2 linked regions of the Caenorhabditis elegans genome follow. The protein of the gene in region 1 interacts with the protein of each later gene in a pairwise test. Each region holds a gene or a part of one and is shown in the gene's direction. Other genes may lie near its edges.

Region 1 (8,875 bases):
TACGGTATCCCAAATGAAAATATTTCCGTCTTTTCCACAAGAAGCCAGAAGCCTGCACGTCGGGTCTTTGTGCATCGGTTGCCATGCCAAACTGCAAAAATTTTATTATAAAAATTCGATTTGAAATGGAAATGTTTAGTTTTTATGTTGAAAAATTAATTTTTGGCTAATATTTGAGAGAAAAACTCGGGTTTTCTGAAGCTTTCTGTTAAAAATCACATTTTTCCACTATGGATGATAAGTAAACTCATAGAAAATATTAAAAATTCGATTTAAAATACCCAAATTATTGGAATTCGAAATGGGTCTGCTAGACTACAAATTACAAATTTCGATTTAGCAGACCCAAGTGGTTTTGAAGAAGTTTGGGTCTGCTAGACTACAAACTACAACTTTCGATTTAGCAGACCCAAGTGATTTTGAAGTGATTGGGTCTGCTAGACTACAAACTAGAAATTTCGATTTAGCAAACCCAAATAATAGTGATTTTCAAAAGGGTTTCAGTAAAAATACATCGTTTCAGTGGGGTTTTAATGGAAATTTTAAGAGAACATTGTAGTGATAAATACAATTTTACGGCGATTTTTTGTAGAAAACCCAAATTTTCAAGACATTTCAGTGATAAATGCGATTTTCCTGCACCTCGTGATCCATTGCTTGTGCCTTTTGAGCGTTTTTCCGATTTGCTCTCCGGTTTTCGCGTTCCAAATGCAAATTTCTCCGTTTTTGCAAGCCGAAGCGATTTTCGTAGCATCCGGTGACCAGGCGATGCAGAGAACCCAACTTTTATGGGATTTACACGTGTGGAGAGGCAACTCGAGCTCAATATCCCAGATTCGCATTGTTTGATCGCCGGAGCCCGACGCTAGACCACGTCCGTCAGGGCTGAACTGAGCAGAGATTACTGGCTCTCCGTGACCTGAAAAATATATTTAAATGCGTCAAAACGATCAAAAAATTACCTGGAATGCTAGCGGAGCATCTGGTAACTGGTCTCACACGGAACACTGCTTGTGGCTGATAAACAAGCTTTAATGTCTGAAATTTTAAATTTTTTAAAAAGTTTTCTATCTTCTTTCAAGGGCTTACAGTCTCAAAATCAATTTCCTCTAACGATTTTCGAATGGAATCGACAATTTCAGCGCCTTCTGTGGTGAAGAAGGAAATCGGCACAGGATCGTCACTGAAAACTCAGGATGAGATACAGAAAATTCATTATTCAAACAAAACCTGCTCCCGAGAAGCTGATTACACAAAATTTGCAGCTCATTCGTGGAGATGTCCACTGGAACAAGGATTCCCGATCCTCCGAGCTCGTTTTCGTCCTCTGACACGAAGCTGACCGAGATTTGTGGACTTTCAGTCATTTTGTTACCTGAAACCGTTTGAGTTTTAATTATTTTGAAAGTTATAACAAGGGAAATCGTTGAAATTGAACTGGAAATCGAAGAAATTCGTTAAGAAATTGCGCTAAATAAATTATTTTTCTCAGTGGAGCGAAGAAAGAAATACAGTGGAAAAAGTTAGGCCATCACTTTTTAGCATTCATTTGTATAGAGAAAACTGTAAATTTTTTACAGATTGTTATGTTTTTACACAATATAAAACATTTTTAACGTAACAGCAGTAAAAACTATGTCGAAAACAATAAAGAATAGATAAAAACCTACCGGGAAAATTTGAATTTGGTCATGGTCGAGTTCTGTAGTGGCCTAGTAACCTCCACTTAATATTCGAAAACGTTTATTTTTCAGTTTATTGCTTTATTTCTCTATTTTTAATTAAATTATTAATTTTCCTGAATTTTTTGCGAAATTTACGAATTTTCAAATTATTTATCTTATAAATTTGCAGAAAATGACTGCAGTTGTCTCAAACCGCGAGGAGGACTCGATGAACAACGAGCCCTCGTTGTCAGGGCGTGCGATTATTGGATTAATCTACCCGCCGCCGGATATTCGCAGTAAGTTTTATAGTTTAAACCAAAAATAAAACAGTTCTGCATGGTTTTGGAAAGATTTCACGCGGAATTCCGCAAAAACTAGGGCAAATCGATATTTTCCAAAAATAAGCAATACATTTTCAATTTTCAGCAATCGTCGACAAAACCGCCCGTTTCGCTGCAAAAAATGGAGTGGACTTTGAGAATAAAATCCGCGAAAAGGAGGCGAAAAACCCGAAATTCAACTTTCTCTCCATCACAGACCCATACCATGCCTACTACAAAAAGATGGTCTACGATTTCTCAGAAGGCCGAGTTGAGGCTCCGAAAGTACCGCAAGCAGTGAAAGAGCACGTGAAAAAGGCTGAATTTGTGCCTTCAGCTCCACCGCCGGCCTACGAGTTCTCAGCGGATCCATCCACGATTAACGCCTATGATTTGTAAGTTTTTTAGAACTTCTAGAACTAAAATTAGATGAAAAAGCTATTTTTAACCTAAAATGAAGTGAAAACCTTATAAATTGCAGAGATTTGATCCGACTCGTTGCTCTGTTCGTTGCACGAAATGGCCGTCAATTTCTGACTCAATTGATGACACGAGAAGCCAGAAATTATCAATTCGACTTTTTGAAACCGGCTCATTGCAACTTTACATACTTCACAAAGCTCGTTGATCAATATCAGAAGGTAAAAATCAAGAAAATCTGCGTATTTCTAAGAATTTTTAAAAAAATCTAGATTTTTCGGTTGAAAACTCAAAAAAAATCCAGCTTTTTCGGTAGAAAACTCAAAAAAAAAACATTTTGATAACTTTTTCACTATTTTCAGTTTAAAGATGGCGGAAAAGTGAGCTTTATAACTTTTATTTGAAATTTTTAAGCTAAAAGTTGCTAAAATATCAGTTTTCAGGTTCTGGTGCCCTCTACCAACGTAGTTGCCCAACTCCAAGACGATGCTACCAACAAAAAACGTCTCATAGAAGATATCAATTATCGTGTATCCTGGGAAAAACATCAAAAAGGTCTAAAAGATCGCGAGGAGGCAGAAGCCGAGAAAGAGCGTCAAGCCTATGCATCAATCGATTGGCATGACTTTGTAGTTGTTCAGACTGTAGATTTCCAGCCAGGAGATACTTCTCAGCTTCCACCACTATGCACACCAAAGGACGTTGGAGCCCGTATTCTTTTGGAAGCGAGAAATGAAATGCAAAAGGCGGCGGCTGAAATGCAGGAAATGGATATGGAAGAGAGTGATTCCGATGACGAAGATGCCGTTCAAGGTGCTTTTTTGGAGCATTTTACGTTGAAAATAGACAAAATTCACTTTTTTCCGGTTTTTTCCAACAGTTTTACTTTTAAAATAGATGGAAAACAATGGCAAACTATGAAAACGCTGAAATTCAAATTTAAGTGCTTCCAACCTGGAATATTTAAAATTTTTAGGCGAATTCACATTTTATTTCGTAGAAAACGAACAAAAATCGCAATTTTGAGTTAAAAAGTAAGATTTTTTGGGTCTGCTAAATCAAAACTTGTAGTTTGTAGTCTAGCAGACCCATTCTCTTCCAAATCACTTGGGTCTGCTAAATCGAAATGTGTAGTTTGTAGTCTTGCAGACCCAAGCTCTTCAAAACAACTTGGGTCTGCTAAATCGAAATGTGTAGTTTGTAGTCTAGCAGACCCATTCTCTGTAGAAACTACTTGGGTCTGCTAAATCGAGTTTGTAGTTTGTAGTCAAGCAGACCCAATTTCTTCCAATTCACTTGGGTCTGCTAAATCGAAAGTTGTAGTTCGTAGTCTAGCAGACCCAAAAAAATCAATTTTTTTTTATTAGCTTTGGCAAATTTTAACTCGGAAAACTAATGAATTTTTGGGACATGTGAGTTTCTATCCAAATTGATGGTATGAATATCGATATTCTCGGCTGAAAGTGCAAAAACTACCGTATTCTGACCAACAATTATTGGAATAGAGCACACGTGTCACCCGAAATACGAAAAGTATTTTTTTTTAATTTTTCAAATTTTTAAATTAAAAATGAGTATATTTATATATTTTCAGCACCAGAAGCCCCTGCATTCACTGCTCCGCTGCCACCTACAAAACAGAAAGACGTGATTGTTCGAGATTACGATCCGAAGAGAAATGTGACCCAAAAGCCAAAAGCTGTGGAGAACTGGATCATTTCACCGCTCACCGGAGAGCGTATTCCATCGGATAAGCTCGCCGAGCACGTCAGATACAATACTGTCGATTCACAGTATAAAGAGGACAGAGATCGTCATATTGGAGAAAGAAGCACGGAGGAGCCCGTATTGGCTCTTGGAGCTGATATTTCTAGGTTAACATTTCAGAAATTTCTTTGAAAAACGAACAAAAGTCTAAAAATCGCCACAATAATCTACAAAAAATCGATTTTTCGTGGAAATTTTGTTCATTTCCGCATTTTTCGCTCGAAATTTGAGATCAGTGCTTCAAATTAGACCTGGAAAGATTCTAGCTCAATTTCAGAAAATTTGGGTTATCGTAGCACCAGAAGTACTCAAACACTGACTACAGCACACCTAAGCACCAAATTTCACGACAGTGGTGAATTTTGAGCTAAAATCGATTTTCAGGAGTAAATTAGAGTGCTAAATCTAAAATTGGAATAAAAATGTCTTAAAAATTGTAAAAAGTGAAAATTAAAGATTTTCAGACAAATTTCCGATTACAAATGCCCACAAAAGATGTTCAAAGCTGAAAATTATAGATTTTCAGACGAATTTTCATTTTTCCACGTGCCAATATCACTAAACCCCAGTTTTTTCTTTCAGAAATCTTGGCAATTTCGCTGAACGTCGTACGGATATCTTCGGTGTCGGCGGAGAGCAGACTATGATCGGAAAGAAGCTCGGCGAAGAGGACAATTCGCAACAAGGGCAGAACAAACTGATTTGGGATGGAACTGAAGAGACTCGGGATATGATTACCCGAGCTGTACAGAATAAAGTCACTTTGGGTACGGGAAATCTAATTTTTTGGCGAAAATTTTGAGTTTTCCGGGATTTTGTTTGGGAAAATTACACGATTTGTGTGGTTTTCTATGTAGAAATTTCTCTAAAACACTCAAATGTTTCAAAAATTCGAGTTTTCATGAAAAACCAGTAATTCAAAAAAAAAGCAATTTCCTCTAACAAAAACCGTGCCAAGTTTTGGATTTATGATATTTTCCATCTGAAAAAAATCTGGTATCTCGGCTGAAACGGGCAATATATACCGTAGTCCAAGTTTTCCCAAAAATTCCAACCAACAATTTGTGCAATAAAGCACAGTTGCCACCGGAGATGCAAAAGCTATGTTTAATTTTCCAATTTTTGGCTGAAAATTGAGCTAAAAATTTACAATTTTCCCGTCATAAAACTCACCGAAATTTCGCTTTTCAGTGTTTTTTATGCAAAAAAATTAATCATTTTTCATTTTTCAGACCAACAAATCAACGAAATCCACCGTCAACACGGATTCGTTGCCGATCCATCAAAGGAAAAGATTGGAGCTCAGCAGGTGCCACGTCATCAATCGACCCAGGGAAATGTGACAATTACTCAAGGAATAACGAATATTCCTGGACAAATGCCATCCGGATGGCCGCCGGTTCCACCAATGGGAATGCCTGGGATGCCGAATCAAGCGGTATGGGATTTTTGAGTTGAAAAATCTCCAAAAAAAAATTCGTTTTTTCATGTAAAATCCTGGAAAAATCGGATATTTCGACAAAAATTGTCAATTTTTGGACCAATTCTCTTTGTATTGCAAAAACGAATCGAAAAATCCCAAATTAAACATGAAAACTAACATTTTCAATTTGGGTCTGCTAAATCGAGTTTGTAGTTTGTAGCCAAGCAGACCCAATTTATTCCAATTCACTTGGGTCTGCTAAATCGAAAGTTGTAGTTCGTAGTCTAGCAGACCCATTCGCTTCACAACAACTTGGGTCTGCTAAATCGAGTTTGTAGTTTGTAGTCAAGCAGACCCAATCTCTTCAAAATCCCTTGGGTCTGCTAAATCGAAAGTTGTAGTTTGTAGTCTAGCAGACCCAATCTCTTCAAAATCCCTTGGGTCTGCTAAATCGAGTTTGTAGTTTGTAGTCAAGCAGACCCATTTTAAAATTAGTTAAAATTGGTTAAAAATCGCGAATTTTTGCTGATTTCAGAGAGATATTGTATTTCTTTCGAAAAATATAAAGAAGTGGTTTTTTGTGTATTTCTGTTTAAAAAAAAATAAGAAAAAGCTACACCAGGTTAGCTGAAACTATATTTTTGTTGAAAAATAGTGAAAACGCCACCAAAAGTTATCTTTAACCGCGTAATTAGACGATTTTTCGGCGGAATTAACTGGAAACTGTGTTAAGATTAAAATTACTGAAATTTCCACAAAATTAAATTTTTTTAAATGTAAATTTCATCTCAAACGGACACAGAAATTCCCATTTTCACTGGAAATTCTCATGAAAAGCTCCAATAAAATGCATAAAGCTCTATAATTCCAGCTTCCTCCAATCCGACAAATGGACTTTGGCGGTGGACCTCCAGCGAAGCGTCCTCGTACCGAAGATGATTTGATACCAGAAGCTGATTGGCTTAAAAAGGTCAACGGAGCAATTTCGCTTAATGTTCATCTTCCACAGGCTCCCGAACACGGAATGGATGGCTCAATTGTGCAGTTTACAATTCAAGTTACTGCACCGGTGAGTTTTAGATAAGAAAATTGTTTTTTTCCCCTGAACGAATTTTTTCACCTTTATTTATTTATTTATTTATTTATTCGCTTTTAAACCATTTGAATAGTAAGTTGATAATAAACATAAAGAATAGGTAAGAGGCGAACAAATATAAGATGACCGATTGGACAAAGGTCCGTGGCCAAATGAGGGTGGGGGTATGAAAGACTTATTTACAGAAGCTTTGATGGGGGAAAAAAAACTATAAGTGAGATCACATCATAGTGTCAAGGGGCAGGGAACAAATACGTTTGGTAAACGTTTCGGCTGACACTGGTTTACTGAACAACTTGGCAAGAGAGTTCCAAAAAGATAGGTATTTATGCAAAAATATTTGTTTGTTGAATGGCCCATTGGGAACCACCTGATGCCCAATTAATTCATAATTTTTGCAGATGTCCGAACTCAAACAACAAATCCAGGATCGTTACGGAATGCCTGTTGGAAAGCAGAAGCTGATGTCTGATGGCCTTTTCGTGAAGGATAATATGAGCTCGGCCTTCTACAATTTGGCAGATCGGACGGCGATTTATCTGCAAGTGAAGGAGCGTGGAGGAAAAAAGAAGTGATGAGCTATCGATTATTTATTACTCTTATTAATATTTATTTTCTTTCAAACTTTATTCTAAAATTGGACGCCAATTTTAATTCTTCAAATCTCAACTTTTCTTCCAATAAATTTGTAAAAAAACCGTTCTGTAAATTTGGAGTGGAAAATCTAAAAGTTCAGACATGGCTATACAAAATTCAGATTCAGCATGTCAAATTACCCCGGGACACTTTTTCTCCGGCTTTTAGCCTTAAATTTCAGAAAATTGGGTTACTGTAGCACCAAAAATACGCAAACATCGACTACAGTACCCCAAAACACCAAATCTTACTACACTGAAGAGTTTTGGGCTGAAAATTGATGTTTAGGGGTAAACTGGAGTGCTGAAATCAAAAATTAATATGAAAATTCTAAAAAATCGATATGAAAATCTTAAAGTCCGGCATTTTCAGACAAATTCTTGATTTTTCTTGGTTCAAATAATAAATTCGAATTTTTTTGTTTATTTTGTTCAGATATCCAGATTTTTTAAATTTTACTTGTTACAGGACATTTTCAGAACAAAAAATACTAGAAAAACAGAAAAAAATTGCGTTTTCAGTAAAAACAAAACATTTTTTGCACAATCTGAAAATTGTTCGATTGCACCCTAAAAATTGCACTATGTTTTCCAAATTTCTTACATGTGTTTTTGTTTTTTCCCCCACCTAACATAACATTTTAAGAGTTTTTGAAAAAATTTTCGAAAAAAAATTTAACAAAAAATTTTTTTTCACTTTTTTTTTCCGAATTTCTTTTTTTTCCCAGAAACATCTTGTACCCCATATTTCATTACAGTAGTACTTGTAGTCAGTCTGTCTGTGCATCTGTTTGTCCACCAAAATCAGCAGTTCCCGCCACCTAAAAATAGTTCCCAACAAGTAAGTTCAGCGTCAAAACTGGTATCAAAACTCCCCTTCTTACCACAAAGTAATGTTCTATTTGACATTTCGGAATAAGAAGTTTGCTCCCATTGTTCAAATAAACTGTATGTGTGCTCCGCGGAGCACACAAACGAAAAAAATTGCCACTGGGAGAGGGGAGCTCAGGGGGTGGAGCACTTTGGCACAAATGAGCACACTTTTTCCTCATTTTTCCGATTTCAAGAGCCTCATATGACTGATGCTGCAGTGTTTAGCTGATTCTTCAAATTTTTTGAAAATTTCGCGGAAAAATGTTTTTTTTGGAAAATTTTTTGGATTCAATTTTTTTTTTCGCCAAAATATTTTTTTCTCAAAATTTTTCTAGTTTTCACAAACCTAGTTGGTAATTTATTTGGTCACTTTGAAACACGATTATCATTTTTTAAAAAGTTTAAAAAAATTTTCAAATCCCCGGTAACCTCCATTAAAATTTCACTTAAAAAATTCGATAAAATTTTTTTCCCAAAGTTTTCAAAAAAATTATTTCATCCAATTTTTCCTTTCACGTGAGCTCCCCAGTACGAAATCTATTGAGCGTATGACTGATTTTTGTTGCTTTCAATCTTTTGTTAGGGGTTTTGGAAATTTTGGAAATTAAAATTTTTTATTGGAAAATTTTAAAAAATTTGATTTTTTGGGTGAAAAGTTGAGTGAACTTTTAGGA
Region 2 (5,266 bases), 8.0 Mb from region 1:
ATCAGAAGAAGAAAGTAATTTGGAGGATGTGTACACACAGCCAATTAAAAAGAAAATTATGCCGTTGAGAGTAAGTTTGTTTGTTTTGAATTGGTTAAATGTTTCCATTTTCTATAATTTTATACATGATTTTCAAGTCGTTTTAGGTAGAAACTTTTGGCTACAACTTTTGAAAACTTGATGGTTAATTATTAAATTAGTACAAAATGGTTACTGTAGTCATTTAGTTGAATAAAATATTTCATTTCACAACTGCTATATTTTCTTTCAGAGACCTGACCTAGAAGAAGAAAATCGTGGAACTAATGTCACATCATTAGTCAGCTTCGACCCAAAAAGTGCGACTCTTTTGCGAATACGTCAGCATTTGGAGGCAGAGCCATCTGATAGAGATGTGAGTTTTCATGAATGATTTTCTATACAAAATATTTATATCAAGAGTTCATAGTTGAAATAATATCTATAATTTTCAGACGCCAGACTACGATATGTACGAACGACTCCGATCAAGATCTTCTGGACACTCTGAAGTTGCACCGGCTTCTACTATCCCTTTGAGTTCTGACTATAAATCAAGAAATGCTTCTCAAGATTCGGTTCCTTCAATGTTTGCTCCGATGCTCAACTCTCCAGCCCCATCTTCTACAACTTCTGGATCTTCTTCTAGAACATCTGGAGCTTCGTTGGCACACAAAACTCACATTGTTGGGAAAGGTGGAATTTCGTTATCAACTGTTGATCCATCCCCGATTCTTTCTCCAGGAATACGGTTATCGGAGCAACTAGGAGCCAAGAATCAGTCTTATAAAAGTGCATTCAGGGTCCAGAAAACTGAAAATGCTCGTGTTATAAGTCACTATCACGCTCCCAACGAAATTCCACTTTCCAGTGATCCATCGGTTGTTGAGAATGAATCTAACTATCCCGTGATGACTAGTGGTGGACTTCTTGTTTAATTTTGACTCAAATCTCATGTCTTGCCGTCTTTTTCTAGGCACTATATACGGGTTTATTCTTTCTTTTTTGTATTCTTTCTGCTTTTTTTAAAATAAATGTTTAAATAATTGAGCTCAATTTTTATTAGAACCAACAACAAGTGATAACAAATTACGATAGAGACCTACTAAAATTCGAAGAAAATTGCTGAAAACCGAACACGCTAGGAAAATTAAAACAATTACTTTGCCTTCTTGGCAAATTTATCATGACGAATCCACCATTCGTCCCAGTCGTTGTTCTTGTCATTTTTGAATGTTGGGAAGTGAACAAGTGGATCTGGATGAATATCTTGCAGACGTACACCAGCTCTCTCAACAGGCTTTCCAGGTTCATCTGTCCAGCTTTTGTACCATTGACGATAATCAAAGTTTCGGAATTCTACTCCAAATGTGATTGTTCCATGTTCTTTTGCTTTCAGAAGTTGTGCACGAAGTAGCGTGTACTGTTCACGACATAGTCCACTCTTCAGGATATCGATTGGTTGGTCGGTGCCATCTGCCAAAAATTGTTCAATGAGACCTGGGTTTCGGTAGTCGAAGTATAGATATTCGTCACGGCACACCTGTAATTCGTGAATTTGTTTGTTATATCTGCAAATGTTAGTTGCTGTTACAAAAACTTACTGGACAAGCATGATTTAGATTGAATCGGCCGTGTTTATCAATGCAGAAAAGTCTTGGAGGTGGTTGAAGTTTCGATTGACCCTGAATTTTCAATCAATTTATTTATTTTTCGAATTCAAATTACCTTGATGTTTCTCTTATACCATCTGTAAATCGGAAGTCCTTTGTAAGCCTCTGCGTATCCTGAAATATATTAAATAATTTAATTTTTAATTGGCATTCATGAAAGCTGTACACAAAGAATTCCTCTTATTTTGTTTTTGAAACTAAATTGAATATTACCTCGACTTTTCATATAGGAAATCTGCTCGGCAATACTGTGTTGTGGTTTGTACATTCCCTTCTTTCGTTCAACATGATTGTAAGCGTATCCGGCCTGAATATATCGATTTTTAAGTAAAATTGTTTATAAATTTAACATAGAAATTAGTTTAGTTCAAATATATTATCAGTTACCTCTTCTGGAGTCGGAACTTCTTTAGTTTTTCCTTCGCAAGCCAATCGGCAGGAAGAATGAATCAGCCTTCGTGCGAATGATCCCCCAGTGGCTAACATACCTGAAATACTGACTTAGACAACTTTTAAACAATTTAATTATATTTAAAAAGTACAAGCTTATAGCTTTAAATTACAATTAAAAACTTAAAAATAAAATAATATACTTTGTGCGTCAAGTTAAATGCGGTGTACGCAAGGAATGTGTGTTCACCGTCACGTCAAGTTGCACATTTTCGAACATCTTATTTTTCTCAAATTTTTATTCTTCTGTCTTGTTTAATCTTTTTTATGAATAGTTATTCACTAATTTAATATTTTTTAAATGTTTAGTTGTAAGAAAACTTTACAGAAATGGATTCGTGTCTAGAAACCATCAGAAACTTGCACGAGGAACGGGAACGATTAATCGATATAACTGTTAAGGAAAAAATTGCAGAAAAGTTAACGCATAAGGCCAAAGTTAATAGCGAACAGCGAGTGAAAACATTTGTCGATGTAAGAAATAACTGTTATGTTATTTCAATTCAATATTATTATTTTTCAGAGGTACTATTCAGTTTCCGCCGAGCTTGCCAAATTTTATAAAGATGAAGACGGTTCGAAGAGCATGGAAATGGATTCAGTTTCTGGTCCAAATGAGTTCGCCGAATTTTATTCAAGACTGAAGGTCATCAAAGATGCGCACAGAAGAAATCCAGACGAGGTTAGTTTTGTTATTTTCCCCGGAAACAATTAAGTTTGGTTGTAATATAATTTCTATACATTTTCAGCTTGCCGAACCACTCACCGTGGAGTTCCAAAAAATCAATGAAGAAATCATCAACCCTGAAAGAGCCGAGCCAGATATGGTTGAATTCAGTGATGAAGAAGCTTACGGTCGTTTTCTAGATCTTCATGCACAATACGACAAATTCATTAACTTGAAGAACATCAAAAGGGTTGATTACATGACGTATTTGTTGAATTTTGAGAAATTCACAGAGATACCGAAAAATACTACCAAGAAGACAGGAGCATATAAAGAATACATCAATTCCTTAAAAGACTATCTTGTTTCTTTCATGCAACGAACTCGCCCACTCCATGATCTCGATTCAGTTTTCTCTGAGGTTAATCAAACTGTAGAAAGAGCATTTAAAGCAGGGAATCTTCCTGGTTGGGAAGCTGATAAAAACAAGAACGGACCTCAAGCAGCTGCTGTGGATTTATCTCCATACAATAGTGCTGAAGAACTCGAGGGATTGGGATTGGAACGTTTGAAAGGAGCTCTCATGGCAATTGGTCTGAAATGTGGAGGGTGAGTTAAAAATATTTGGATTTTTTAATTGTAGTCCTCGTTATTTTTCAGAACTCTGAAAGAACGCGCTGATCGTCTTTTCGCTACCAAAGGGCATAAACTGTCAGATCTCGAAAAAGCAGCAATGTCTTCAAATAATTCCGATGCCGAAAAGCAGAACGCTAAAAATTTGACATTGGCACAAACGGAAGCTCATATTATGGCACTTGCTGATATTCTAGCTGAAGAACGTACTGGAACTCGCGAAAATGTCGAGAGAAAACAAGCTAGATCTGCTGGAGAGGTCGAAGAAGAGGAGGAGGAGGAAATTGTGGTAGGTTTGAATTATTTTCTCTAGTTATTTTTAGAAACATTTAAAAATTCATTTTTTAGATCGAGGAAGAGGAAGAAATTGATGAGAGTGCACCATATAATCCAAAAAATCTACCGCTTGGTTGGGATGGAAAGCCAATTCCGTATTGGTTGTACAAACTTCACGGCCTCAATCTATCATATTCATGTGAAATCTGTGGAAATCAAACTTACAAAGGTCCAAAGGCGTTCCAAAAGCATTTCAACGTAAGTTCATTATATTGGTCTCGTTCAAAAACTTGATATTTGCAGGAGTGGCGACATTCTCATGGAATGAGATGTCTTGGAATTCCGAATACCTCTCATTTCGCCAACATTACGAAGATCAAAGATGCACTGGATTTATGGAATAAATTGAAAACCGAAAAGGAGATGGCTAAATGGAATCCGGACATCGATGAGGAGTACGAGGACTCCAGCGGAAATGTGGTCACCAGGAAGATGTATGAGGATTTGAAAAGACAAGGACTTCTGTAGACGCTATTTTATGTATTCCATTGTTCTTCTAAGTTATTTTTTTTCCTTTTTAATCTTACATTTCTGTAAGTTTTTAACCAATTGGTCTCATTTTTCAAATTTAATGGATAAACTTTTTTGTAATTTTAGTACAATTGAAATAATTTATCGGTATATACAGTTTCAGATAAGTAGTGAGAAAGTTTAATACTCAAATGCAGGATTTGCCTTGAAATCAGCACATCCTAAACAGCTACAATATTGTTCTCCTTTTCCGCAATAGCCACTATTACTGCAACAGTAGGATTCAGAATCCGGATCACATTTTGGAATTTTTCCAGTAGAAAGTCGTGGAGCATTGTAACCACAACGACCTGAAGATATATTCTTATAAGTTGAATTGAGGGCCTGTTCCCTCACCAACGTTGGCTGGATTCTCAGAAAATGTCCACCATTCTAATGGTTTATATTTGAAATCTCTCTGTTTTGCAAAATCAATACATCCATTACATTCACAATGTTCCTTTGAATTTCCACAGTAACCTCCATTACTACAACAATGAGCATTAGCATCATCTGGATTACAAGTTGGCGCTTCTCCTTCTAAAGGTGGAACATCTCGACCACATCGTCCACGTTTCCCTTCTCCAGCATCCGATGTGTACCATGTGATCTTTTGGCTTGGTTTCACTGGTTCTTTCAAAATTAAATTTGGATCTGCACCATAGTCAATACATTCAGGACAAGAACAGAATTCTGCACCGGAACCGCAATAGCCATACTGCAAAACGGTATTATGAAGCCTTTCACGGTGGTACTAACCTTTCCACAACAAGCATGACCTGGATCATCTGGATCACAAACGGGATAATATCCATCAATCAATGGAGACGATTTTCCACACATTCCAGCCAATTCCTCATTATCATCATATGTCCACCATCTTTTGTCGTCTACTGGAGAACACTTGTAGTTGAATGACTTTGTTGATGTGGTACAAATAGATTCAGCTGCAGCAGAGTTCAGAAGGGTACCTTGATCA

What was found. The genes of interacting proteins can lie anywhere in the genome.
Region 2: the proteins of prp-21 (region 1) and prp-9 interact in a two-hybrid assay, tested with the Caenorhabditis elegans proteins (2 studies listed by BioGRID).

The regions. Positions count from the first base shown.
Region 1 is NC_003280.10:483,012-491,886, forward strand, and holds prp-21 (uncharacterized protein), read left to right. Parts: upstream 1-1,854; 5' UTR 1,855-1,857; coding exon 1,858-1,963; intron 1,964-2,093; coding exon 2,094-2,382; intron 2,383-2,468; coding exon 2,469-2,628; intron 2,629-2,850; coding exon 2,851-3,220; intron 3,221-4,001; coding exon 4,002-4,281; intron 4,282-4,756; coding exon 4,757-4,941; intron 4,942-5,406; coding exon 5,407-5,612; intron 5,613-5,870; exon of another isoform or gene 5,871-5,953; intron 5,954-6,468; coding exon 6,469-6,666; intron 6,667-7,094; coding exon 7,095-7,268; 3' UTR 7,269-7,392; downstream 7,393-8,875. Other genes in the region: gldi-1 (NLE domain-containing protein), read right to left, coding at 1-91, 643-919, 963-1,038, 1,090-1,183, 1,231-1,367.
Region 2 is NC_003280.10:8,522,600-8,527,865, reverse strand, and holds prp-9 (Matrin-type domain-containing protein), read left to right. Parts: upstream 1-2,469; 5' UTR 2,470-2,471; coding exon 2,472-2,615; intron 2,616-2,664; coding exon 2,665-2,823; intron 2,824-2,890; coding exon 2,891-3,417; intron 3,418-3,468; coding exon 3,469-3,730; intron 3,731-3,789; coding exon 3,790-3,975; intron 3,976-4,020; coding exon 4,021-4,245; 3' UTR 4,246-4,372; downstream 4,373-5,266. Other genes in the region: gldi-7 (Sodium/potassium-transporting ATPase subunit beta-1-interacting protein), read left to right, coding at 1-70, 272-394, 474-956; mrps-18B (28S ribosomal protein S18-2, mitochondrial), read right to left, coding at 1,178-1,561, 1,623-1,703, 1,747-1,805, 1,905-1,998, 2,079-2,177; cht-2 (GH18 domain-containing protein), read right to left, coding at 4,429-4,598, 4,645-5,005, 5,047-5,266.